Linked DNA regions of Stegostoma tigrinum. The protein of the gene in region 1 binds, or shares a complex with, the protein of each later gene. Links are inferred from orthologs where the notes say so. Each region holds a gene or a part of one and is shown in the gene's direction. Other genes may lie near its edges.

Region 1 (6,838 bases):
AAATCCACAAACCTGCCTGCCCTGGTCGACCCATTGTCTCAGCCTATTCCTGCCCCACTGAACTCATCTCCACCTATCTGGACTCCATTTTCTCCCCTTTGGTCCAGGACTTCCAATTCCCTGGCCCCCAACACCTCATTTTCACCATGGACATCCAGTCCCTATACACTTGCATTCCCCATGCAGATGGCGTCAAGGCCCACCGCTTCTTCCTGTCCCGCAGGCCCGACCAATCCCCCTCCACCGAAACCCTCATCCGCCTAGCCGAACTCGTCCTCACCCTCAACAACTTCTCTTTCGATTCCTCCCACTTCCTACAGACTAAGCGGGTGGCCATGGGTACCCGCATGGGCCCAAGCTATGCCTGCCTCTTTGTAGGTTACGTGGAACAGTCCCTCTTCCGCACCTACACAGGCCCCAAACCCCACCTCTTCCTCCGTTACATTGATGACTATATCGGCATTGCCTCTTGCTCCCCAGAGGAGCTCAAACAGTTCATCCACTTCACCAACACCTTCCACCCCAACCTCACGTTCACCTGGGCCATCTCCAGCACATCCCTCACCTTCCTGGACCTCTCTGTCTCCATCTCAGCTAACCAGCTAGAAACTGATGTCCAATTAAAGCCCAATGACTCCATCAGCTACCTAGAATACACCTCCTCCCACCCACCCTCCTGCAGAAATTCCATCCCTTATTCCCAATTCCTCTGCCTCCACCGCATCTGCTCCCAGGATGAGGCATTCCACTCCCGCACATCCCAGATGTCCACGTTCTTCAAGGACCGCAACTTTCCCCCCACAGTGGTCGAGAACGCCCTTGACCGCGTCTCCCGCATTTCCCGCAACACATCCCTCACACCCCACCCCCGCCACAACCGCCTTAAGAGAATCCCCCTCGCCCTCACATACCATCCCACCAACCTCCGGATACAACGCATCATCTTCCGACACTTCCGCCATCTAAAATCTGACCACACCACCCAAGCTATTTTTCCATCCCCACCCTTGTCTGCCTTCCGGAGAGACCAATCTCTCCGCGACTCCCTTGTCCGCTCCACACTCCCCTCCAACCCCACCACACCCAGCACCTTCCCCTGCAACCACAGGAAGTGCTACACTTGCCCCCATACCTCCTCCCTCACCCCTATCCCAGGCCCCAAGATGACCTTCCATATCAAGCAGATGTTCACCTGCACATCTGCCAATGTGGTATATTGTATCCATTGTACCCGGTGTGGCTTCCTCTACATTGGGGGAACCAAGCAGAGGCTTGGGGACCGCTTTGCAGAACACCTCCACTCGGTTCGCAACAAACAACTGCACCTCCCAGTCGCGAATCATTTTAACTCCCCCACCCATTCCTCAGACGACATGTCCATCATGGGCCACAATGATGCCACCCGAAGGTTGCAGGAATAGCAACTCATATTCCGCTTGGGAACCCTGCAGCCCAATGTTATCAATGTGGACTTCACCAGCTTCAAAATCTCCCCTTCCCCCACTGCATCCAAAAACCAGCCCAGCCTGTCTCTGCTTCCCTAACCTGTTCTTCCTCTCACCCATCCCTTCCTCCCACCTCAAGCCGCACCTCCATTTCCTACCTACCACCTCATCCCGCCTCCTTGACCTGTCCGTCTTCCCTGGACTGACCTATCCCCTCCCTACCTGCTCACCGATACTCTCCTCTCCACCTATCTTCTTTTCTCTCCATCTTCGGTCTGCCTCCCCTTCTCTCCCTATTTATTCCAGTTCCCTCTCCCCATCCCCCTCTCTGATGAAGGGTCTAGGCCCGAAACGTCAGCTTTTGTGCTCCTGAGATGCTGCTTGGCCTGCTGTGTTCATCCAGCTCCACAACTTGTTATCTTGAAATAGCAGAAATCCAAATTTAATTTTGATAAGACTAGTAACCCATTTCCAGAGTTGAGCACTGCGGAGTCAGTCAGGGTGCAACGTTCAATATATTGACGAGATCATTAAATGGAGGTGCCGGTTTTGGACTGGGGTTGACAAAGTCAGAACTCACAGGACACCAGGTTTTGGCCCAACAGATTTATTGCAAATCACAAGCTTTTCGAGTGTAGCCCTTTGATCGGGTGCAGTGAGAGAGAAGCACACAGACATAGAGTTTATAGGCAGAGAGATCAAGGGCTCAGAGATCAAAAGATCATGCTAACTGGTGTGGGTGGAGTGTCAGATAATAAGTCTCTGCAGGTGACCATGAGTGTTGGACCGTGAGAAAAGTGTCAACAGCTGATTACCCAGTGAAGGGATGATCTATAATCTGGCTAATTGAGACAGAGAGAGAATTACAAAAAATCAAAAGCAAGATGTTGCTGGAGACATACTAAATGACTGGAATAACATGATAGGTATAAGAGTCACATGCTGAAGGCCTAACCAAAGTAGTAAGTATGAGAGATCATGACAATTTATCAAGGAGATGGTGTCAAAACAGCCAATAAGGAAGACTTTACAGGTGCAGAAGTGCGTTGAGGTCACATGTAGCATGACATGAACTCAAGATCACAGTTGAGGCCGTCTTCATGGGTACAGAACTTGGTTATCAGTCCCTGCTTGGTGTTTCTGCATTGTTGTGTTTCTTGAAGTCCACTTTGGAGGATGCTTACCCAACAATCGGAGGCTGAATACTTTTGACTGCTGAATTGTTTCCTGACTGGGAGGCAACACTCCTGTCTGGCTTCAGCAGTCAAAGCCACCTGATGAAGGTGCTCCAAAAGCTTGTGATTTCAAATAAACCTGTTCGACTATAGCCGAGGGTCCTGTAACTTCTGACTTCGAAAAAGTCAACCCAAGTGGTAACCTACAACTTGCCTAGAGCAGTTGTCATTTCAATTGTGTACAGTGGAAATGAATGCATCAATTTATGGTTGCAACTGCAGGAGCATAAATTCATACAATGGAGCAGTTTTTTTCACTGTTAGTAGCCAGTCAATAAGAGTTAACCTTTTGAGACCAGTGACCCTTTATTAGAATCTTTCTGATGAAGAGTCACTGCATGTGAAATGTAAACTGTCTTCCTCTTTACAGATCCTGCCTGGCCTGCTGAGTTTTCCAGTAATTTCTGTTTTTGTTTCTGATTTCCAACATCTGCAGTTCTTTTTTTTTATATAATAGATTGGAACACGTGCATATTTGGTAGTTTCGGTGTCCCACATTGTAAATAGTAACACATGCCATGCAATTTTGTTATTTTTGCAACTGAAAATGTTGTTCGGCATAGAAATACAACACAAAGTACACAGAGTGGTACTCAAGTGCTCATGGTTTGCCATAGTAACCTGCCTTTTGCTCACTACAAAATATTCAATTTAGTGCCAATGCAATAAAGACATAATACAAACTAGATTCGAAACCAGATGCCAGAATTTGAAACAAAAACAAAAACTAGTGGAAAAGCTCAGCAAGTCTGGCAGCATCTGTGGAGAGAATGCAGAGATAACGTTACACGTCCTGACCCTTTCTGAATAAGTGAGTTCTCTTATTAATCTATCTTCACAGATACTGCCAGACCTGCCGAGGTTTTCCAGCAATTTCTGTTTTTGCACAAAATAAACTGACCTCCTGTGAGTTTGTGACAAAAGATTACACCTTTTATGTGTGAACACACGTTCAGTGACCGGATTAAACCTCTCACTATGGAGCATCAAAATAAAACTGCTCATTCGAATCCAAAACTTCAACCTCGCGAGATTTGGATGTAATCTCGCATACGTTGTGGCCGTTACCTCGGGATTACGTCCGGCGTTCCTTGTGACGTCAGCGGCAGGCCTGTGATTGGCGAGCGTCGGGCGAAGGCTCAGGCGCAGTGTGCGCCATTAGGCACAGTTTGGCCGCGCGGCATCGCGGAACCGGTGTTGAAAGCTCTGTGTTCACCATCGGAAGGGATGGTGTAGGACCGGAACTGGTCTGTTGAGGAGCGGCGTTTATCAAACCTTGTACACACAGCGGCCTGAGGCATGATGCGCAGCAAGGCCGAGGTGGATAGGTACATTGCCTCGGTGCAGGGCGTCACGCCGCTGTCGCCCCGTGAGGTGAGTGTCCAACGCTGCGGGCTGCGCTGGCCAGGAAAGCGCGGGCAGTGCAGATTGTGGCCTCAGCTCCTAGGCCTCGCCCCTCGCAGGCTCTGCGGTTGTGTTCTGAGGAGTTAAGCAAAAATCTATCAATTTGTTAAGCAGCTGTAGTTTAGCACTTTGTTTCATAGTGCAGGCGGCAGTGGTCTCTTGAAGTTTGGCGATGCTGGATTCTATAAACTAAGCTCATCCAGACTTTCAGTTTTGATCCCGCTTTTGAAGAAACTAAACTAGTCATAGAGGCTTAATAGGCTTGGGGACCGCTTTGCAGAACACCTCCGCTCAGTTCGCAACAAACAACTGCACCTCCCAGTCGCACACCATTTCCACTCCCCCTCCCATTCTCTTGATGACATGTCCATCATGGGCCTCCTGCAGTCCCACAATGATGCCACCCGAAGGTTGCAGGAACAGCAACTCATATTCCGCCTGGGAACCCTGCAGCCATATGGTATCAATGTGGACTTCACCAGTTTCAAAATCTCCCCTTCCCCCACTGCATCCCTAAACCAGCCCAGTTCACCCCCTCCCCCCACTGCACCACACAACCAGCCCAGCTCTTCCCCCCCACCCACTGCATCCCAAAACCAGTCCAACCTGTCTCTGCCTCCCTAACCGGTTCTTCCTCTCACCCATCCCTTCCTCCCACCCCCAGCCGCACCCCCAGCTACCTACTAACCTCATCCCACCTCCTTGACCTGTCCGTCTTCCCTGGACTGACCTATCCCCTCCCTACCTCCCCACCTACACCCTCTCCACCTATCTTCTTTGCTCTCCATCTTCGGCCCGCCTCCCCCTCTCTCCCTATTTATTCCAGTTCCCTCCCCCCATCCCCCTCTCTGATGAAGGGTCTAGGCCCGAAACGTCAGCTTTTGTGCTCCTGAGATGCTGCTTGGCCTGCTGTGTTCATCCAGCCTCACATTTTATTATCTTGGAATCTCCAGCATCTGCAGTTCCCATTATCTCTGATAGAGGCTTAATAGATAGTTTCTATTCACATCAGCATGTGAAATATACGAATTGCTACAAGTAGTTCATTGACTTCTTATTTTGTTTGCAGATGTAATAATGGTTTGTACCGATTGATGAATTTTATGCAGCGAGCTGTTAAACAAATTTGTATATCCCCAGGAATTTTTCTGAAGTGTACTCTTTAAATTTTTGTCTATTTCACATCACCTTCCAACTTCCTTTTCAGAAATCCCTCAAAGGGTTTTTGTTTGCAAAACTCTATTATGAAGCCAAGGAGTATGAACTTGCAAAGAGGTAAAGAATTTTTTCCAGTATGTGCTATTTTAAAACAAATCTCCTTGGGCTATCCTAAAAGTTTTACAGTTTATGCACTGACTAAAGTTGGCTGACTAATCAAAACCACAAAATCCATGTTGTAGTGATAAGAAACAATATAAATGCTGAAATCTTTTAAAATACTTATGTTATCCATCTTGTTCTCTGTATCCAGTTTTAAACTCTAACTTTTCCAATTGTATTCTGTTACCAGATGTTTTTCTGTTCCTGATGTTAGTGTGTATGTAATGTATACAGAGAGGAAGATCAACTCCTACAGTGCTTTAAAATAGTGAATTGTCCTGATGTGCTTGAAAAAAGCACTATAATATGGTATATGAGACTGAGCCATTTGACTTAAAAAGACAGATAACAAAAAACTGTCGTAGGAGCAGGTCCTTTGTGCCTTAAAGGAGGAAGGCGAGGCAGAGAGCTATAGGGAAAGTATTCTATAGCCTGTGACTGAAAAACTGAAGGTATGGATGCTAATCAGGAACAAAAACAAGTTGCCAGAAAAGCTCAACAGGTATAGTAGTATCTGTGAAGAAACGACCAGTTAACGTTTTAGGTCTGAGATAATGGGAATTGTAGATGCTGGAGAATCCAAGATAACAAAGTGTGGGGCTGGATGAACACAGGCCAAGCAGCATCTTAGGAGCACAAAAGCTGACGTTTCGGACCTAGACCCTTCATCAGAAATGTCACCCCAGCTGCCATCTTTTCTGAGGAAGGAAAACATCTGTTTGTATGCTGAAAATATTCATAAAGTCAGGAGGTATGGGATGCAGGGTGATTTGGCTCTCTTGATTCAGAATTGGTTGGCTGACAGGAGGCAGAGAGTGGTTGTAGATGGTAAGTATTCTGCCTGGAGGTCAGTGCTGAGTGGTGTCCTGCAGGGCTCTGTTCTTGGGCCTCTGCTCTTTGTAGTTTTTATAAATGACTTGGATGAGAATGTTGAGGGGTGGGTTATTATGTTTGCTGATGACACAAAGGTTGAAGGTGTTGTTGGTAGTATCAAGGGCTATTGCAGGCTTCAGCGAGACATTGACAGAATGCAGAGCTGGGCTGAGAAATGGCAGATAAAGTTCAACCTGGATAAATGCGAAGTGATGCATTTTGGAAGGTCGAAATTAAATGCTGAATATAGGATTAAAGGCAGGATTCTCGGCAGTATGGAGGAACAGCGGGATCTTGGTGTTCAAGTGCATAGCTCCCTCAAAGTTGCTACCCAAGGGGATAAGGTTGTTAAGAAAGCATATGGTGTTTTGGCTTTCATTAACAGGGGGATCAAGTTTAAGAGCTGCGAGGTTATGCTGCAGCTCTACAAAACCCTGGTGAGTCCACACTTGGAGTATTGTGTCCAGTTCTGGTCGCCCTGTTATAGGAAAGATGCGGAGGCTTTGGAGAGGGTGCAAAGGAAGTTTACCAGGATGCTGCCTGGACTGGAAGGCTTGTCTT
Region 2 (7,096 bases), on another chromosome or scaffold:
TGCTTGATGGGGATAAAAAATCGGTCAGCCCAGTTCCCAAAGAACATGATCTTGCTGTTGCCTTAATTTACTCATGAGGCCAGTTCAAGCTGGTCGCAGATGTTCATGATTCTATACACTGACAGTGAATCCAAGCAGAAAATGGTGATATGATCCCGATACAGGGTGACTTTGACCTGCAGGCCTCTCCTGCCTGGAATAGTCATCATACTCAGGCTCACATCCTTCCTGATGGATTCAGAAAAAAAGGCTCTCTGCAACATGCAAACAAGGCAGAAGAGAGTGAGCAGCCCTGCCTAACTCTAGATGTGATTGAAAAACTTTGGTTCCCACCCAGTAATTGAATGTGACTTAGAGCCATAGAATCATAAAGCACAGAAACAGGCCTTCAGCTCAACTTGTCTATATGGACTCTAAATATGACCTTACCAATGTCAGTACAGCCATAACATGACATCCCAATTCCTGTACTCAATGCTCTGACTGATGAAGGCAAGTGTGCGAATTGCCTTCTTTACCACCCTGTCTGTGACGCCACTTTCAAGGAACTATGTACCTAAGAACTCATTCCAGGCCCCCATCATAAACTGTAAGTTCTGTCCTGGTTTATCTTACCAAAATGCGGCACCTCACATTTATCTAAATTTAACTCCACTGCGATTCCTCAGCCCACTGGCCCATCTGATTAAGATCCTGTTGTTCGCTTGAGATAATCTTCCTTCACTGTCCACTATACCATCAATTTTGGTGTCACCCACGAACTTATTAACCATACTTTGTATATTCTCAACTAAATAGTTTATATAATTGAGAAACAACAGTGGACCCAGCACTGATCCTTGCAGCAGACTGCTGGTCCCAGGCTTCCAGTCTGAATAACAATTTTCTACCATTACCATCTGTCTCCAATCGTCAAGACAATTCTGTATCCAGTTGGCCAGCTCCCCCCGATCCCCTGAGATCTAACTTTATTAAGCAGTCTACCATGCCCAGGCCTTGTTGAAGGCTTTGCTAAAGTCTATGTAGACAATGTGTACTGCTATGCATTCATCTGTCTTCTTGGTCACCTCTTCAAAAAAAACACTCAATCAACTTTGTGAGACATGTTTTTCCATGCATAAAGTCATGCTGACTACCCTTAATCAGTGATACCCGGTGTGGCTTCCTCTACATTGGGGAAACCAAGCGGAGGCTTGGGTCGGCTTTGCAGAACACCTACGCTCGGTTCGCAATAAACAACTGCGCCTCCCAGTCGCGAACAATTTTAACTACCCCCCCCCCACCATTCCTTAGATGACATGTCCATCATGGGCCTCCTGCAGTGCCACAATGATGCCACCCGAAGGTTGCAGAAACAGCAACTCACGTTCCGCTTAGGAACCCTGCAGCCCGATGGTATCAATGTGGACTTCACAAGCTTCAAAATCTCCCCTCCCCCCACTGCATCCCAAAACCAGCCCAGCTTGTACCCGCCTCCCTAACCTGTTCTTCCTCTCATCTATCCCCTCCTCCCACCTCAAGTTGCACCTCTATTCCCTACCTACTAACCTCATCCCGCCTCCTTGACCTGTCCGTCCTCCCTGGACTGATCTATCCCCTCCCTACCTCCCCACCCATACTCTCTTCTCCACCTATCTTCTTTTCTCTCCATCTTCGGTCTGCCTCTCCTCTCTCCCTATTTATTTCAGAACCCTCTCCCCATCCCCCTCTCTGATGAAGGGTCTAGGCCGGAAACGTCAGCTTTTGTGCTCCTGAGATGCTGCTTGGTCTGCTGTGTTCATCCAGCTTCACACTTTGTTACCCCTAATCAGTACTTGCCTTTCCAAATGCCTGAAGGTCCTGTCTCTCAGAATCCCCTCCAACAACCTAACCACCATTGGTACACTCACCTGACTGTAGTTCCCTGCCTTTTCCTGCAGACTTTCCTAAATAATGGCACCTCACCTATGACTATAGGTGATGTAAATACCTCTGCTAGGGGGCCCATAATTTCTTCCCTAGCTCCGAAAAGTAGTGGAAGCATTTGTGGTCGTCTTCCAGGATTCTATAGACTCTGGAATAGTCCCTGCAGATTGGAGGGTAGATAATGTCACACCAAGATTCAAAAAGGGAGGGAGAGAGAAAACAGGGAATTATAGACCAGTAAGCCTAATGTTGGTAGTCGAGAAAATTCTCAAATCCATTATCAAGGACTTTATAATGGGGCATTTAGAAAGCAGTGGCAGGATCAGACAGGGAATGCATGGATTTATGAAGGAGAAATCATGCTTGATAAATCTGTTGAAATTCTATGAAGATGTAACTAGTAGAGTTGACAAGGGGGAGCTAGGTGATGTGGTATATTTGAACTTTCAGAAAGTGTTTGACAGAAGTCCCACATAAGAGATTATTGTGCAAGATTAAAGTGCATGGGATGGGGGAAAGTATATTGAGATGGATAGAAAATTGTTTGGCAGAGAAAAAACAAAGAGTAGGGATTAATGGGCCCTTTTCAAATTGGCAGGCAGTAACTAGTGGGATACCATAGGGAGTGGTGCTGGGACCCCAGCTATTCACAATATATTAAATGATTTTGATGAGGGAACAAAATGTAACATCTCAAAGTTTTCTTATGATACCAAGTTTGATGGGAGGGTGAACTGTAACAATGATGTAGATGCCTTCAGCATGGTCGGACATGTTGGGTGAATGGGCAAATCAAAGGCATTTATAGTATAATTTGGATAAATGTAAGGTTATTCACTTCGGAAGCAAAAACAAACAAGCAGATTACTACATGAATGGCTGTAAATTGGGACAGGGGAGTGTGCAGCAGGACCTGGGTGTCCTTGTGTGCCAGCCACTGATGTTAAGCATGCAGGTGCAGCAGGCAGTAAAGAAGGTAAATAGTATGTTGGCCTTCATTGCAAGATGTTTTGAGTACAGGAGCAGTGATGTGTTGTGGCAGTTATACAGAGCCTTGGTGAGGCTGCACCTAGAATATTGTGTGCCATTTTGGTCTCCTTTTCTGAAGAAGTATGCTTTTGATCTCGAGACGGTGCAGTGAAGTTTTGTACCAGGCTGATTTCAGGGATGATGGGACTGACGTATGAGGAGAGATTGACTAGAATAGGATGGTTTTTGCTGGAGATCAGACAAATGAGGGGGGATCCTATAGAAACTAATAAAATTCTAACAGGTCCAGTCTGTAGATGCAGGGAAGATGATCCCGATGATGGGTGCGCCCTGAGTCTGGGTGTGTCAATGGTCCGAGTCTAAGGATTTACAATATACCATTTAGGACGGAGATGGAACATTTCTTCACCCGGAGAGTTGGTGATCCTGTAGAATTCATCACCACAGGAAGTAGTTGATGCCAAAACATTAAATGTATTCAAGAGGTGGCTAGATAATATAGCACTTGGGGCAAATGGGATCAAAAGTTATGGGGAGAAAGCAGGATTAGGCTATTGAGTTAGATGATTAGCTATGTGTGATGAATGGCAGAGCAGGCATGAAGGGCTGAATTGCCGCCTCCTGCTCCTATCTTCGAAGTTGCGCACAACATCCTGGAATACACTTGGTCAGGTCCCGGGAATTTATCTACCTTATGTATTTTAATAACTCCAGCACCACCTCTTTTGTAACGTGGACTCTTTTCAAGATATTCCTATTTATTTTCCGGAGTTCCCAAGCTGCCATGTCTTTCTCCACAGTAAATTCCGATGCCTTTACTGGTTTATGATCCTTCCCAGTTTTGACCTTCGAGTTGAATTCGGTGGGTTGATGCACAGTTTAGTATGCACTCTGATACAATCAACACCACTTTTGAATTCTGACTGCCAGTTTTTGCAAAGTATTTTATATACTGTGAGAACAGTTGTCTGTAGTCTGTCTGGAATGATTACCTATGGCCTCCGCACCTCCCAGCAAAACTCTCTGCGCCACGAACCCCGCCCACGGCCTCTGATGTGTAACCGCGCTCAGCGAGCTTCCATTGACGGTTGGCGAACATCACATTATTGACACCTCTCTTACCCAATTGGAGGATGTGGTTTGCAGGTTGTCCTATCGTAAGCGGAGCTGGTGATGCCCGATTCTGCCGAATGGGCACAGAGGAGAGTCGGAAGGTGGGTCTTGGCGCTGGTACGTCCTCCAGGTTTCGTTGAGTGCAGTCGGGCTCTGTTACGGCTGCGATGAGTTTCCCGCTGAGGTAGGTCGCTGCTTGGTGTCATTGAACGGAGAGCCTTGAAAAACAAAAACCCTGATTTCCCCCCCGCCTTCTTGGTGGGGTTGGGGTTGGGGTTGGGAGGTCAGTGATCCCAAAACGGCGTCCTCTTTGATTTCTCTTTTTTTTGTACAGTTTATGTCAAATATGCGGCCTCTATGTCGCCAGTGGGCAGTTTCTATCACTGCCCTGTGGTGAGGAGGCCGAACGCTAACACCGCCGTTGACAGTTTCCTACACAACGGCTTGTCCTTTTAAACGCCTGAATTACCCGTAGTCTCTCAACACTTCCATCGGCATCAAGTGCCTTTGTATTCGGCCTCAGTTACGCTACTGCTTGGTTTAGTAGTTAGGATTGTGCTGCACAGTGCCATCTAACCGTGTGTGAGTATTGTCGCTGCTGTTTTTCATTTGATTAGCCAGTATCTGGCATGTGTAGCCTCAGTGCCCGACGATGTTCTGGAATTTATCGGTTAACTCGATACAAGTCACATCAGCCACCGCTTTAGGATCATTAGTTGTGGATCTTCAGTTGCTGGAGGTGACATACACCCGTGCAGGGACCCTTCTGTTTGCCAATAAAAGAAGAATACCCAAGCGTTGTGAGTTTTTGAATTAGCTGGGAGCTTGCAGTACCCCTGCTGCATTCTCCATGGCAACATCTGTTCAATCAGAGATAGCAGGAACTGCAGATGCTGGACAATCTGAGATAACAAGGTGCAGAGCTGGATGAACGCAGCAGGCCAAGCAACATCAGAGGAGCAGGAAGGCTGACGTTTCGGGCCGAGACCCCAATCAGTTGACTTGCCAACCAGTCTTTCTGTTTTGTGATTTTTGTTTTTCTGATTTGACTATTTTTGTAGTAGGCTGGTTGGCTGTAACTGGTGGAGTAACACAAGGACCAATACTTAGGCCGTAGCTGTTCACAATATTTATGTGTGTGGCGTATCAATGACTTAGAGTCTGAGTCGTAGAGGTGTACAGCACGGAATCAGATCCTTGGGTCCAACTCGTCCATGCTGACCAGATATCCTAAATTAATTTAATCCCATTTGCCAGCATTTGGCCCACATCCTACTAAACCCTTTTTATTCATATACACATCCAGATGTCTATTAAATGTTGTAATTGTACCAGTCTCCACCACTTCCTCTGGCAACTCATTCCATACCGGCAGTGTCTTCTGCATGCAAAGGTTGCCCCTTAGGTCCTCTTTAAATCTTTCCTCTCTCACCTTAAATCTATGCCCTCCAGTTTTGGACCCCCCTACCCTGGGAAAAGATCTTTATTTATTTAACCTGTCACTGCCCCTTATGGTTTTATAAATGTCTCTAAGGTCATCCGTCAGCCTTCGTCACTCCAGGGAAAATGCAGTACCTCACATTTATCTAAATTAAACTCCATCTTTCACTATTCGGCCCTTTGGCCGCTCTGATCAGGATCCTGTTGTACTCTAAAGTAACCTTCTTTGCTTTCCACTACACCTCCAATTTTGGTGTCATCTGCAGGCTTACAAATCATTGCTCCCATGTTTACATCCAAATCATTTATATAAATAACAAAAAACAGTGCACCCAGCACTGATCCTTGTGGTACACCACTGGTTACAGACCTCCACCACTACCCTCTGTCTTGTACCTTTTGAGCCAGTTTTGTATCCAAGTGGCTAGTTCTCACTGTATTCCATTTGATCTATCCGTGCTAACCAGCTTACCATGAGGAACCGTGTTGAACACCTTGCTGAAGTTCAAATAAATCATGTCCATTGCTCTGCCCTCGTTGATCTTCTTTGTTACTTCTTCAAATAACTCATTCAAGTCAGCGAGACATGATTTCCCAAGCACAAAGCTATGTTGATTGTCCCGTGTCCTGGGGATTTATTCACTTTGTGCATGTTAAGACATTCAGCATCACCACCTCTGTATTTTGGACATTTTTCATGATGTCACTGTTTATTTCCCTATGTTGCCTATCTTCCATATGCTTCTCTGCAATAACTACTGATGTGAAATCCTCATTTAGTATCTCCCCCATTTCCTGCGGTTCCACACTTAAGTGGCCTTGCTAATCAAAAGGAGCCCTGTTCTCTCCCTAGTTAATCTTTCGTCCTTAATGTATTTATAAAATTGCTTCAGATTCTCCTTAATCTATTTATCAAAGCTATCTCAAGTCTCCTTTTTGCCCTCCTGATTTTCCTCATTAAGTATACTCTACTGACTTTATACTCTAAGGATTCACTCCATGTCTATACCTGACATATGCCTCCTTTTTCCTGATCAAAACCTCAATTTCTCCAGTCATCCAGCATTCTCTACACCGATCAAGCTTGCCCTTCACCCTAACAGATTCTCTCTTGGACCCTCGCTATCTCATTTTTGAAAGCTTCCTATTTTCCAGCCATCCCTTTACCTGCAAACATCCACACCCAACCAACATTTGAAAGTTCTTGCCTTATACTGTCAAAATTGGCCTTCCTTCAATTTAGAACTTTAACTTAGATCCGCTCTATCCTTCGTCATCACTATTTTAAAACTGTATTTCCAAATTATGATTTGATACAAAGCTAAATGAGAACATGTTTTGTAAGGAAGATAAAATGTTGCTTAGTGGGATTTAGACAAGGCTCAGTGAGTGAGCAAGAACACGGCAGATGGGATATAATGTGGGCAAAAGTAAAGAAGTTACCTACTTTGGTAGAAGAAACAGATGTGTGGAATATTTTCAAATGGAAACCACTTGGAATGTATAGATGTACAAAGGGACCAAGGTGTCCTTCTTGATAACTCATTGAAAGTTAACAGTCAGGTGCAACAAGCTATTAGACATCTAACAGAATGCTAGCTTTTATTGCAAACCATTTAGCTACAGGAGTAGTGAAGTCTTTCTTCAA
Region 3 (7,261 bases), about 46 Mb from region 1:
ATCCTTACATACAGATAAGGAAGGACACCACTTTGATTGGGACAACACATCCATCCTAGGACAAGCCAAACAGAGACATGCACGAGAATTCCTAGAAGCATGGCATTCCAACCGGAACTCCATCAACAAACACATTGACTTGGAGCCAATCTACCATCCCCTGAGAAAAAGAACAGGAAATGACATCACCAACCCAAGGAAACCTAACCAGATAAATAGAAAGCGGGACATAACACCAGCGCTTCGTCGAAGGCTCACTGATGATGTTACCTAGAATGGTGACGAAACGTCTGAAAACTAACCTTCCAGCTCAGCGAGCAAACTCACATCCAGATCCTCAACCTGAGCTACAAATCTTCTCAAAACTCACTTACAGAATACCGACAGGGCTGGATAGAGTGGATGTGGAGATGTTTCCATCAGTAGGAGAGATTGGGACCTGAAGGCACAGCCTCAGAGTGAAGGAACAACCCTTTAGAACTGAGATGAGGAGGAATTTCTTCAGCCAGAGGGTGGTGAATCTGTGGAACCCATTGCCACAGAGGGCTGTGGAGAACAAGTTATTTAGTGCATTTAAGACAGAGATAGATAGGTTCTTGATAAGTAAGGGGATCACAGCAGGGAGAAGGCAGGAAAATGGAGCTGAGAAACCTAACAGCCAAGATAAAACAATGGAGCAGACCTGATGGACTGATTGGCCTAATTCTACTTCTTTATCTTATGGTATCATAGGGGACCAGAGGAAAAAGAAAGAGAAGCTGCTGTAGGGCCTCTTTCCATGCTGTTTGCACTCTGACTCTGACTCAATGATAAGAGAAAGACCAAAGACCCACCCTTGCATGAGCTTCAGTTGTCATACAGTTTGACTAAAATTCAGTACCATGTGATAGAGGTTCTCCAAATGAACAATGTGAAAATATTGGTTTTGCTCCCCACTATAAACTCTGGTCACTGGCTTCCAAATCCATTCCTGGCCCTTACACCGGACTGAGACTGAAACGTACCAGTTTAAACCTTAGTCTCGCATTCAATCCCATGATGACTTTTCAACCAAATTATCACATCACCCAGGTCCCTAATATTGCCTGGATTCATCCCTATCTCCACACATCTGCTTCTGGAACCTTCATTTATGCTCAAGCTCTGATTACTCTAATGCTCCTCTTGCAGGATTCCCACTTCCTATCCTCAGTAATTTGCAATAACAAAAAGGTAGAAACTTGTGGCAAACCCTATTCACCCTCTGCTCCTGTGTTCCTTGATCCATGTTGGTTGCTTCGATTACAGGGTTCTTTAACTGGTGTTTAACTCTTTCCGTGGCTTTGCCTCCTCCCTATCTCTGTCATCTCCTTCAATCCCACAACTCTCTGAAATCTGTTTGTGTAATTCTGGCTTCTTAAATGTCCCTGATTTTAAGCACTCGACCACAGGCACTGGCAATGATGTCTTCATCTGTTTGGGCCCTCTGCATCACTTGCTCTCTTTCTTTGAATGAGGCAGGTCTTGATGTTTCTGTATGTCCTTCTGCACGTGCTTCAAAGCCTAAATAAGTACAAGATGATGCACAAAATTTTATTGGAGCATGGAGAAAGAGAGACAGAGAAAACTCAGGAGAGAATTCCAGAGTGCAGAGCCCACATTGCTGAAGGCCACCAATGGAGTCATAGAGCTGTACAGCATGGAAACAGGCCCTTCGGTCCAACTCATTCACGCTGACCAGACACCCCCATCTGACCTAGTCCCATTTGCCAGCATTTGGTCCACATCCCTCTATTCACATACACATCCAAATGCCTTTTGAATGTTGTAATTGTACCAGCCGCCACCACTTCCTCTGGCAGCTGAATCCATGCACACACCACCCTCTGTGTGTGAAAAAGTAGCCAAGATAACAAGATGTAGAGCTGAATGAACACAGCAGGCCAAGCAGCATCAGAGGTGCAGGAAGGCTGACGTTCCGGGCCTAGACCCTTCGATACCCAAAACGTCAGCCTTCCTGCTCCTATGATGCTGCTTGCCTGCTGTGTTCATTAGCTCTGCACCTTGTTATCTAACATCCTTATAAATCTTTTTCTGAACCCTTTCAAGTTTCACAACATCCTTCCTAAAGCAGGGAGACCAGAAATGAATGCAGTATTCCGAAGGCAGGCTAGCCAATGTCCTATACTTCAGCAACATGACCTCCCAAATCCTATACTCAATACACTGATCAATAAAGGAAAGCATACCAAACACCTTCTTCACTATCCTATCTACCTGTGTCTCCACTTTCAAAGAACTATAAACTTGCATTCTAAGATCTCTTTGTTCAGCAACACTCAGGCAGGATTGATGAAAATTGGGGATATCACAACAGGCCAGAATTGGGATGGCATGGATATGCCAGAGGGTTGCGGGCCAGTCAGAAATTAGAGAGACAGGGAAGTGTGCGTCCGCGGAGGTATTTTGAAATAATCTTGAGAAGTTTAAAAATCAAGATGTTGTAGCATACAAAATCTAATCTGATCAGTGGCCTGCTCAGCCATTTCAGAGGACGGTTAAGAGTCAACATCTTGCTGTGGGTTGGTAAGTCACATCTAGTTCAGACCAGGAAAGAATGGCAGTCCCCTTCTCTAAAGGACATTGATGAACCAGACAGAATTTCCTAAATCCACACCAGTTTTATTCCAAATACTTTATTGAAGTTAAGTCCCACCATCAGCCATACACATTCCGTTCAAATCTGGATCCCCAGAATATTACTGGGATCTCTGGATCATAAGGCTATTGCCCTGTCCTACGGAAAAAGAATTAAATCAAGTTTTTTAAAAAATTCTTTCATAGGATAAGGACATCACTGGCCAGGCAGCATTTATTGTCCATCCTTAATTACCCTGAGGGCAGTTAAGAGTCAACCACATTGCCGAGGGTCAGGAGTCACATGTAGGCCAGACCAGGTAAGGATGGCAGTGTCCTTCCCTAAAGGGCATTAGTGAGCCAGATAGGTTTTTCCTGACAATCAACAATGGATTCATAATTCCAGATATTCTATTGAATTCGAGTTCCAACATCTGCCATGGTGGGATTTGAACTCAGATCCCAGAATGTTATCCAGGTCTCTGGATTAACAGTCCAGTGATAATACCACTAGGCCATTGCGTCCCCAGTGAGTGCCTCAGTGGTATAGCACTACTGCCTTAAGCACTAGGGACCTGGGTTCAATTCCAGCCTCAGCTGATTGCCTGCATGGGTTTCCACCCACAATCCAAAAAAATGAGTAGATTAGGTGCATTGGCCATGTTAAAATGCCCACAACGTCCAGGAATGTGTGGGTTTGGCAGAGTAGCTGTGGGAAATGGAAGTGCAGGGTTACAGGGATAAGGTAAGAGGGAGATAACAAAGTATGAAGCTGGATGAACACAGCAGGCCAAGCAGCATCTCAGAGCACAAAAGCTGACATTTCGGGCCGAGACCGCTTTTGTGCTCCTGAGATGCTGTGCTCATCCAGCTCCACACTTCGTTATCTTGGATTCTCCAGCATCTGCAGTTCCCATTATTTCGGGTAAGAGGGAGAGTCTGGTTGGGATGCTCGTCTGGGCTGGTTTGGACTCGTTGGGCCAAATGGCACGTTCCCACAGGGATTATACAAAAATTTGATGTTGAATCTAATAAACTCTCCAGAGGCTGCCAGGCCTGTTTCCTCTAGGGTTTCTTCTGGGGGCATACAACAACCATTAACTATTTCATGGTCATCATCATGGAGATTAGTTTTACATTCTACATTTTATTGTTCAAATTTACATGTCGCCAGCCACTATGATGAGATTTGGCAGACATCTCCAGAAACAGTTGCCGAGGCCTCTGGCTGATCCTTCATCAGAGGGTGTAGGCCTTAAATGTCAACCTTCCTGCTCCTCTGATGCTGCTTGGCCTGTGTTCATCCAGCCCCACACCTTGTTATCTCAGATTCTCCAGCATCTGCAGTTCCCACTATCGCAGCGACCATCCAGTTGAGGCGCAAAAGGAACCTGCAGGACTGAAGGGCCTCCTCACCTCCTATGGACCATTTGGAGGAATTGCCCTTTTAAGAGGCGGGCCGCAGCGGGTAACAACAGCAGCAGCGCTGTAACAGGCAGGATTGTTTGAATACACCAATCACGCACCGTCATAGGGGCGAGCCCAAGTCGCACAGCCAATCGGAACGGCGGATGCGGCTGATTGACGTGAGGGACTGCGGGGAACACCGGACCGGGAAAGAGGGTCAAGTGGGGACCGACGCCGCTATGTTTTACTACTGACCCCGCCTGGAGTGACAGTTGATCGCAGGTTTATGTGCGTATGGGAAACAGGCTGAACCGAGATGGTAACCGAGCTCCCGAAACTGTTGCCGGCGGGAGAAGCAAGAAAGGCAAAGGCCCGAGAATTCGCGGCTTTCGCCTTCATGACCTGCAGCTAGAGCGAATGGCCCCAGAACACTCCGTCTAAGGCCCACGTTGCCCAGTCCTGAATGACATGTAAGGCGACCAATGGGATTGTCAAGATTGTGGGTGGGCGGGGCTTCCGGTCGAGAAAATGACCAATGGAATGTGAGGGCGCTGCCTTTTCGGGAGCCTTTGCGTCTATTAGCCAATGTTGTTGCGAATCAAGTTTGACTGACAGTCAAATAATCCAATCGACGAACACCTTTCCAGACGGATGTTAAGACTGGCCAATCAGTGCGCGCAGCGTGGGCGTGTCCCGTAGATGTCACGTGGGAGAAGTAGGCGGTGCCTGGCCTAGGCGTGTGGTCGAACCTCAGCCGCCTCGGGGGCTACTTGAAGTGTGTAACCGGGACGGAGCGGATGAAGTGACTGACTATAGGGAAGGCTATCCGAGCTGGCAGTGGGCGGTGAGTGAGGCCTGAGCAGAGATAGGCTTGGATCCCGGTGATTGGGGGTGGGTGGATTAACCAGCCTGGGCCTTGACGGGGTTCGGGGTATGGGAAAGGTCAGCTCCAGCAATCAGGCGCTGTAGCTGCGGGGACCCTCCCGACGAGCCGGCCCCCACTTTCCGGGGGGGGGAGGGTCAGGCAGGTTTCCCGACACGGTTTCACAGACACATGGCGGGGGGGGTCTGATTGGACTGTTTTCCCCTTGTATCCGGGTCAAGAATGAAGGGGATAGGCCGAACGGCCTCCTGCGCCGCAGTATTTCGGCTTATTGGTCTATTAAGTGTGTGTTGATAGTAAGGAAAAGTTAACTAGGCCAGGCTTCTTTAGAGGCCAAAAGGCAAACTGAAAAATAGTAAAATACTGACTGATCTTGACAGGGCGGGTTTAGAGAAACAAACTCCCAGACAAGCTCAACGGCTCTGACTGTTTCTCACTCCAGGTACTGAGTTATCATTTCAGGTCCAGGAACAAGCTGCCCCATGTAGTGAATCTGTAGCTGCAAAGGCGTCAGAGTATGTTATAAAGGATATGGAGCATGCTAATATGATCAGGCAGAGTCAGCATGGCCTCATGTCACAGATTTATTTCAGTTTTTTGATATAACAAGAGACTGGATATTTGCTCATCCAAAATGCGCTCATTCCAGAACTACACAGACTACTTAATGGTGTGGGCATGGATATGTTTGTATGTTATGTTTTCTTGGGTCGAGGACTGGCTAGCTAATAGCTAGAGTTTGAGTAGAGGGTTTGTTTTCAGGATGACTGCCTGTAACTAGTAGTGTGTGCAGGGATTAGTTCTGGAGCTACGGTTATTTACTGTCTGTATTAATGAAGCTGAATGTACTGTAGCCACCTTTGTGGATAGCATTAAAAACAGGTGAAAAAGCAAGCAGTGAGTGTGAGAGAGATTAGGGGGATATAGACAGTTAAATGAATGGCTGGAAAAACTCAGTAGATGGGTATAACATCGCAAAATGTGAGGTTATGTACTTTGGCGGGAAGAGTAGAAGAGATGAATATTATTTTAATGGAGAAAGACTGTGGAAAGCTGCAACTCCAAGGGGTAGGGGGCTCTTTTGTGCATGAATCACAAAAAGCTAGCATTGAAGTTCAGTGTGTAATGGGGAAGGCAAAGGGAATAAAATATAAGCTTAGTGTCATCTTGCTGAAATTGGACAAGGTGTTGATCAGACCACAGCTGAAAACTGTGAAGAGTTTTGATCCCCTTATCTAAGGGAAGATATACTGACATTGGATGCATTCCAGAGAAAGTACCTCAGTGGTTAATGGAATTTGGAGTAGAGTTTTTTCTAAATTTAACTTGTCTCTGATTAGAAAAATGTTATTACACACTTCTGAAATAGGTGAGACTTGAACAGGCCACTTATCCCAGGAATAGGGATGTTACCACTCCACTCTGCTACAACAGCCCCTTTTTGGAGCAGAGTTGAATTTTGAGATATATGCAGAACACTTGTTTATACACAATACCAACATGAGGGGCTGAATGACCTCTTTCCCTCATTGTAACCTCCTTGAGTAGAGCTGTTGTATTCACCTGAAACCATTGTCCTGTGAAAATATTGGTCAGTTTAAGTAAGATTAGCAGGTAACTTACGCATAGCTGCTTTGCTTCCGGAATGAGAATTCTGGGGAGATATACAAGTTAGAATACGGCTGCCAGTGACAGTTTGTAAATATGCTCTTCCCATTTGTGGTTGTTCTTTTTTAGTTGTTAGCTGGAATCCTTCTGTCCTCACTAAAAGCTGAGTTCAGCGTTTATGATGAGTATCTCCAGCTAACCAACATGAAGATTTGAAATCATTGCCTTTAGTCCCTGCTGCAAATTCCACTTACACATCATGACTGTGTTTCACTCCTGGTCTATGCTGATACTGAACCAGTCTGTTGGATCAAATATGACATTAGTTTTGCCAAAGACTCTTATTGTTAACCTGAAGGCTGCCTGTTTCCATCCTGTAGCTTAACCTATCTTCTTCCCATCTACAGTTTGTCTCCTGCTGCACCCCTCGTTTGTGACTCTTTTTGACCTCTAGATCTGACTGTTTTAATGCAGTTTCACCTTCTACCCTCAAGAAGACTCTGCTGTTTCTAGTATGATTCGTGGGCAGTTCAGCCCCGTCTTTATTCTTGCTCACCTAAATTGGCTCCTGCTTCCAGCAGTAGTTTGATTTTTTTTTCTCCTCTCCCCTTTAAATCCTTCCATGGCCTCATCCCTCTGATATCTATAACCACCTCCAGCCCTGCTGCTTTTCAGGACTTCTCCATTTCCCTAGAATTTAATTATGTTTGTGAGCATCATCTAGTCAAGTTTTTATTACCCATCCCT
Region 4 (7,566 bases), on another chromosome or scaffold:
TAGATCTAACTGACTGCCAGACCTGGAATAGAGATTGTAACGTAAACTGTATTAGTTACAGTTAGATTATAACCTAAAAGTGCCAAATGTTATAGTGAGGCTTTTCATCCACTTGTGAATCAGCCGAAGGAGTCTCAGTAAATCAATTACAAGGGTGAAATTCAACAGTTTGTTAGACATGCCAAGTACTGCTTGGAAATGCCATCAGATTAGAATAGATTGAATGCAGGGAGCCACAAGTTAAGAAGCAACAAATACAAAAATTCTACTGAAAACAAGTAGTTACTGATGCAGAATCACTAACGTTATAGTACTACCGACAGCATCACTTTGCTGAATTAAGGGTACTTGGACTGAGCAGGCTTCAGCTGCCTGATGTATGTACCATCTATCTGATGTAACTAACTGGAAACAAACATTCTATTGACAAAGAGCATAGACGATGTGTGGTATCTGCCACTGCAGCAGATGCAGTGTACAAGTTCTGCCCTCATAAATTTAAGACAAGAATTGATTGTGCACTGTGTTTTGTGTTCTCTATTGTGACATAGGAACAGGAGTAGACCATTCAGCCTCTTGAGCTTCTCCTGTCACTCAATAAGATCATAATGGATCTGTATCTTAATTCCATATATGCCATTGCTAACAAAATCTATCAATCTCAGTTCTGAAACGTTCAACAGACCCAAAGTCAACAGCCTTTTGGGACAGAGTTCTGGACTTCTGTCAGCCATTATGTGAAGAATTGCTTGCAGACCTCACCTATGAACAGCTGAGCTCTATTTTTAAGGTTGTGTTCCCTAGTTCTGGGTTCTTTCACCACAGCACAGTGTGGTCTTACTAGCCTATTTTAATCATCTTCAAATGATCTTTAATCTTCCACTGATATTCTGAGTGCCTTTTGCTGGGTCCTAAATCAGAGCTTTGTTCAACTGTAACATTACTTGTACCTCTTTGTATTCCAGCTCTCTTGAGGTATAGAGACCAATATTCCATAGCCTTTTAAATCAGCTTCAATAAAGTTACACCAAATGTTTTTCTTTACTGAATTATTCAGACTTCCTACCCTTTGTGATTCTGGGCATTTTATTCTGTTCTTTCGTCAACTGTCTTTTTTCTCCCTGGTGACTAAACATTTTGATTTCAAGATCTCTGTCCAAATACAGTGCTACATGTGAAATTCACTCTTCTACCATCACCCACAGATAAGAATAACATATAATTCATAGATTAGTTTCCTATTTCTGCTGGTAAGGTTTTTGTTATATCTTTTGAGCTTGAAACAAAGCATGCGAATGAGCAACAAGATATTTGATTAGATATATGGAAGCAGGAAGTTTTCTTTCTTAGGAAAATTATGACAGATTTTAAATGCAGTAGCTGATTATTTTTTGTACATATGGATAAAACTAAACCTCTTCACAAAATACAATTCCTCTTATTGGAAGTGGAAACCTGGAGGGATGGCTGTTCAGTCATACAGCACAGAAACAGACTCTTCAGTCCAACTGGTCTGCGCCAACCAGACATCTCAATATGACCTAGTCCCATTTGCCAGCATTTGGCCCATGTCCCTCTAAATCCTTCCTACTCATATCAATGTTGTAATTTAAAGTCGCCTAAATGGCTTCCTCTGGCAGCTCATTCCATACATGCATCACCCTGTGCGTAAAAAAAAACCCCTCGGGTCCTTTTTAAAATCACTCACTTTAAACTCTTAATAATAAAATGTGAGGCTGGATGAACACAGCAGGCCCAGCAGCATCTCAGGAGCACCTGAGAAGCTGCTGGGCCTGCTGTGTTAATCCAGCCTCACATTTTATTATCTTGGATTCTCCAGCATCTGCAGTTCCCATTATCACTTTAAACCCTTTAAGTTTTGGACTTCCCCACCTTAGGGGAAAAGACCTGACTATTCACCCTATCCGTGCATCTCATTATTTTATAAACTTCTGTAAGGTCACCCCCTGGCCTCTGACACTCCAGGGAAAAAAGCCCTAGCCTATGCTGCCTCTCCCTGAAACTCAAATCCTCCAGACACCGCAACATCCTTGTAAATCTGCGCCTTCTCAAATTTAACAATGCCTTTGCTACAGAAAGATGTCCAGGATTGTGCATAGTATTCTAAAAGTGGCCTCCCCAGTGTCCTGTACAACCACAGCACAGCATCTCAATTGCTACACTCAATGTTATGGCCAGTAAAGACAAACATGCCAAATGCCGCCTTCATCATCCTGTCTACTTGTGACTCCACTTTAAAGGAGCTACAAATCTGTATCCCTAGGTCTCTTTGTTCAGCAACACTCACCAGGACACTACCATCAGTTCTCAAAGTTAGGATTTGTTTAAAAATGAAGCTTATAATTAATGTTCATTAAAACCAAGTTCTAACTGTAATTTGAAAACCTAGATTTTAATAAAAGGACAGAGAAAATGAGTTTGCAAACCTTGGACTGCAAAATACCAAGGCATATTGGAGAAAATCAGTAAACAAAAACTTTAAGTTTGAATATCACGAATTCAAGACAAGTAAAAATCATCAAAAACTGCTCATTCAGGACAAATGAGAAATCACAATTACCTAAAGTTTAGACAATTTTTTTTACATCTCATCATTAGTCTATTGTTTGAAAGAACTTGCATTTATTCAGCACCTTATGTAAACTCAGGGTGCCCTAAACTCTTTACAGTCAAGTAAATACTGAATGTAGTCACTGTGGCAACTTAGTAGGCAATTGGCAAACAGCAAGGCTACACAATCTTCGATGAAATAATGACTAGCTAATCTGTTTAGTGATAGTTGAAGGATAAACATTAGCCTTAACACTAAGGGGAACTTGTCCGTTCTTATTCCAAAAGATGTTATAAATCTTCAACATTCACCCAGTATATCAAATGGGGCCTTTTTTAAAACCTCCCTTCTGAAATAACAAACTTCCAGCAGTGTAGCATTCCTTTAGCATCACACTGATCTGGATACCTATTGTGTTTAATTTTCAACAGTGGGACTTGAACCAACAAACTGACTGATTAGTGAGGGATCTACCACTGAGTACAGACTGATTCAATTTTTCAGAAATGAGATTCAAGAATTGATGTTTATTGCTGTATCTGCAGCTACTTAACTACCATAATAGTGAAAGCTAAATGCATTTAACACACTACATATGACTTTAACCAGTGTTTTGTTGAAAAGCAAAATTTAAGTGAATGTCATTACAATGTATGTACTTCTCCTTCTTCACGAATAACAAATGAACGACCATCAGTGAATATAGTCCATTCATAAGAACAGAAACAAACCCAGCAATTTTTCATTGTTCTTCGAATTTTAGAGTCTAAAGATATGCTTGCAACTTGTGACGTCACCGTTATATACACACGTAGGATGTTAAGAGGGTATTAATACCTTGATTTGATTTTTAGTCAGGAATTTCATGGCTTTTTAAACACATTTGGGAGTAAATTTTGTTTTAAATTTAACCAGTGAGAGTGACTGGCCAATGTTGAAAACCCGATCTTTGATAATCCCTACGCAAAAAGTTTAATGTCAGCAAGTAATCAGTTTCAAAGACACCAACTCCTAGTTATTTTTCCAAGGGCACATCAAACAGTGGCATTTGAAACCAAATTTACAAAATTTCATTCTACTCGAATGAGACAAGGAAAGTTTGAGAGTGTATTTAGATGGAAACAGTTGACAGCAACCCATTGGCAACAGCGGGGTTCAGAAAACAGATTGCACATACTCAGTACAAAATGTCCAAGCAGGCAAAATAAAATTAACAATCAAGAGTTTAGTACTCAAATTTCAATTGTTATATTAGGGGTGTCAGTCAAATATAGCAAACCACTGGTAGATAACGTAAACTGATAGTCAAATAAGTCTTTCAGCACAGCAATGGTTTGATTAAGCTGTTCATTTAGTTCCAGATAGATAAGGTACACACCCTAACTGTCCAGTTAAAATTCAAACGAGAGGGAGGGGTCGGAATATCGTTTAAAAAAAAAAATCAGACGAACGGTTTACAAAACATGGATTTTAGCGGAGTCAAACAGTAAAAGAAATAATTTTCTCAGCCAGATCTCTATAGTGGCCTTCGATAAAGAATAATAGCAAGGGATAGCCATTTATAAGAATTCGCTGGTGCAAGAAAAGCGTTCGATTACTCGTAGAGAAATGAAAATAATGATAGAATGAATATTACCATCTAGCGGAAAAGAAATCTAGACTAAAACTAATGTGCATATTTTTTTAAGAAAAACCAATCTCACCAAACGCAAGAGAGGAGCAGGAAGGCTGAGGTTTCAGGGATAGACCCGAAACCTCAGCCTTCCTGCTCCTCTAATGCTACTTAGTATACTCTATTCATCCAGCCCTACACCTCATTATCTCAGATTCTCTAGCATCCACCTTTCCTACTATCTCTCACCAAATAGACTCACCTGTCACCTTCCAGGAGGCGGCCATAATGAAAGGCCAATCACGTGACACGAACAGTACCGTTGAAGTCACGTGCAGAGGGCCGTGGCACCCATGGATGGTCACGTGCAGTGGGTCGGCTTGGATGTTGGTCACGTGAGTGCGTTGGCAATGGCGGCGGCGGCGGGCCCTTACGTGAGGTAAAATGAAATATATGAAACTTTATTTTTTTCTTAAAAAACAAAATGGAAAGCACAGTTTGAGTTTGCGCCGATCAGTTCTGCGAAGCAAGTGTGTTTTCTCGGAAACAAGACCCGGTGGCCGGTATTTGTCTGTCTATCTGTGTGTGTGGTTCCTGTGGGAGCGCGGGGCTACAGTTGGTAAATGGATGAGAACGCGGTGAACACGAGTTTACGTTCAAACTCTATCGTGCCAGGAAAGGGTTTTGGTTCTTTTGGGATCATAATTTTAGATTTTTAACTTGTTCACTTCGTAGATAGACCATTGTACATTGTGGCTGTACCGGTAACTTATTTTCCCCTCGCTCCGTTAAGGGACACAAATTTACGAGAATCTGACAGGAAACTGTTTCTGTTCTCTCAACCCCCCACCCCCTTCCTGTCGCTCAATGATCTGAAAAGTTCTGCAGTATCTTCAAATAGCACCTGATACTCTCGGGTCGTTACCAACACTGAAAAGCAGTTCCAGCGTCTATAATTTAGAAGTCCATACATCTCCACAATTCAGTTTTAGTCTGCCCATCTAATCTGTGTCTGGCTATTCCAGTTCAAGATATAAGGAAAGTTTAGTGCAGTGCAATTTCTTTCCTATAATAGTGTCAATGAGACTGACTGGTTACTGGGATCGTACTTTTGTTTCAATTGACTGTATTTCAACATTAAAAATACAGTTTTCTTGTTTAAAAAAAACCTCTCCTTTTATTTTCTCCCTCATTTCACCCAGTGGAGACAGTATGAGGAGCTAGTACTGTTAACACAACTTTTGTAGTGCTTGGTGAGTTCTACAGTTAGCAGCCCACGCAGTTACAATAGTTTCTTGTCAGTGATGGTGGAGTAAACTTGTTATCATCTTGATATGAAGTTCAGATTTTTTTTATGGATACTTGATTAAATATGGCCAATATATCATGCAACCAGAATGTGGGGAGCAAAGAATAGTTGATGTTTTAAGTGCAAATATTAACTTTTTTGATTTTGTTCTTCAGTGACAGAACTTTAGGTCGTTTGATTTTGAAGTGTCCTTTTTCTGCTGAATGATGTTGGTGCTATCATTCAAGAGACATTCACTGAGCTAAATCGCCCATAGGGATGTGTAGATTAGGTGGTTTATAGAGGGATGGGTCTGTGTGGGCTGTTCTGAGGTTCGGTATGGACGTGGAGGGCCAAAGGGCCTGTTTCCACACTGTAGGGTTTCAATGATTCTGTGTCATCTTGACAATTGTGCAGGACAAATTTGTTTGTTCACAGGATAATTTTGACTTGCACGATTAAGTGGTACATCCAAGGTGTTTTTCCTCAACATTTCCTTTCTCTTCCTCTCTTTTTTCCCTTAAGATTTCCCTTTAAATCTTTTTTCTTTTGAAGTTTTTAGTTACCTGTTGTAATATTTATTTGGCTTGGTTTAATTTTATCCTGTTACCTTGTGTAGAGCTTTGGGATATTCTCCTGTGTTCATGCTCGTCATTCCAGCACTGCAGCTGGTTACTTGGCTCTTTGATTCCACTCTGAATTCTGTATAAATGCAACTTATTGTTAATGAGTCACATTTTGTGGTATGCACTTCGTGCCACCTGCTTGATGTATGGTATGTTTGGGCAGCACTAGCTTCTTTGGCCATCAAATAAAGGGTTTAGGGACTGCTATTTTGCCACTGGTCTACCAACTCCCTTTATGTATTATGTCTTTAAAGTTAATATCTGCAATTTTCTTTTGCTGCCCCAGTCCCTGGTGTAAAGTTTCTTTTTAAAAAAGCATTTGTTTGAAAATTATTTTCAATCTTAAAATATTTTCTAGGGATTAAAAGAAGTTTTGTTTCTCCTCAGACTGGAGCTGCTAGCTTCTATTGTAGAAATATCGAAGCCCCAGTGTGGAAAAAGGCCATTCAGCCAACAAGTCCATGCTGACTCTCCAAAGAGCATCCCACCCAAATTCACCACCCCACCCTATCTTTGTAAACTTGTATTTCCCATGGCTAGTTCACCTAACCTGCACGTCTTTGAACTGTGGAAGGAAACTTCTGGACAAAATCAGCACAGACACAGACACAGAGAACGCACACAGGCGCCTGAGGCTGGGATTGAGCCCAGGTCCCTGGCGCTGTGAGGTGTGCGTCCGCTTAAATTTAACAAGGAGTTTTTAATAGCTTTTGGGTCATGCAGGATTCATGTATCCTCTTTCAACATGATTTGAATCTGGGTCAGAATTCTTAAAATTCACTCATGGGATGTGGCAATGCTGACCTAGTCAGCAGTACCTCCACTAAATTCTCTGTAAGTGGTAAAGTACCTTCTTGAAGCACTGCAATCCACAGGGGTTAGATACACTGACAATGCTGCAAGGAGAGGAGTGTGCAGTATAGAATAGGGCCTCCATGTTCCAAACCTGAATAGCAAATTCCGATGAATTTTTGGCTCTGCTTTCTATATCAGAAAATATCTACTAAAATTTGGAGCTGGACGATAGCAGAATTAAACACAATGACATACAAATTTGTTAGTGTTAAATTTGGATTCAATAAAAACAAAACATTTTCAGTCTTTTTATCAAGACAAGTCATTAAAATTTAGAGATAATGCCATGGGCACCCGCATGGGCCCCAGCTATGCCTGCCTCTTTGTAGGTTACGTGGAACAGTCCCTCTTCCGCACCTACACAGGCCCCAAACCCCGCCTCTTCCTCCGGTACATTGATGACTGTATCGGCGCCGCCTCTTGCTCCCCAGAGGAGCTCGAACAGTTCATCCACTTCACCAACACCTTCCACCCCAACCTTCAGTTCACCTGGGCCATCTCCAGCACATCCCTCACCTTCCTGGACCTCTCAGTCTCCATCTCAGGCAACCAGCTTGTAACTGATGTCCATTTCCAGCCCACCGACTCCCACAGCTACCTAGAATACACCTCC

The links.
Region 2: ranbp2 (region 1) and cetn3 share a complex: the UniProt entries of both Homo sapiens proteins name them as parts of the nuclear pore complex. The link is inferred for Stegostoma tigrinum from reciprocal best matches to the Homo sapiens genes RANBP2 and CETN3.
Region 3: ranbp2 (region 1) and nup98 share a complex: the UniProt entries of both Homo sapiens proteins name them as parts of the nuclear pore complex. The link is inferred for Stegostoma tigrinum from reciprocal best matches to the Homo sapiens genes RANBP2 and NUP98.
Region 4: ranbp2 (region 1) and nup188 share a complex: the UniProt entries of both Homo sapiens proteins name them as parts of the nuclear pore complex. The link is inferred for Stegostoma tigrinum from reciprocal best matches to the Homo sapiens genes RANBP2 and NUP188.

What each region holds. Positions count from the first base shown.
Region 1 is NC_081359.1:65,882,479-65,889,316, forward strand, and holds the start of ranbp2 (E3 SUMO-protein ligase RanBP2), read left to right. Parts: upstream 1-3,812; 5' UTR 3,813-3,979; coding exon 3,980-4,054; intron 4,055-5,291; coding exon 5,292-5,359; intron 5,360-6,838. UniProt on the Homo sapiens protein: E3 SUMO-protein ligase which facilitates SUMO1 and SUMO2 conjugation by UBE2I. Involved in transport factor (Ran-GTP, karyopherin)-mediated protein import via the F-G repeat-containing domain which acts as a docking site for substrates.
Region 2 is NC_081356.1:93,260,184-93,267,279, forward strand, and holds the start of cetn3 (centrin-3), read left to right. Parts: upstream 1-4,096; 5' UTR 4,097-4,175; coding exon 4,176-4,192; intron 4,193-7,096. UniProt on the Homo sapiens protein: Plays a fundamental role in microtubule-organizing center structure and function. As a component of the TREX-2 complex, involved in the export of mRNAs to the cytoplasm through the nuclear pores.
Region 3 is NC_081359.1:111,734,712-111,741,972, reverse strand, and holds the start of nup98 (nuclear pore complex protein Nup98-Nup96), read left to right. Parts: upstream 1-4,239; 5' UTR 4,240-4,493; intron 4,494-4,592; exon of another isoform or gene 4,593-4,867; intron 4,868-7,261. UniProt on the Homo sapiens protein: Plays a role in the nuclear pore complex (NPC) assembly and/or maintenance. NUP98 and NUP96 are involved in the bidirectional transport across the NPC. May anchor NUP153 and TPR to the NPC.
Region 4 is NC_081382.1:33,834,758-33,842,323, reverse strand, and holds the start of nup188 (nucleoporin NUP188), read left to right. Parts: upstream 1-4,546; 5' UTR 4,547-4,594; coding exon 4,595-4,623; intron 4,624-7,566. UniProt on the Homo sapiens protein: Component of the nuclear pore complex (NPC), a complex required for the trafficking across the nuclear envelope. Required for proper protein transport into the nucleus.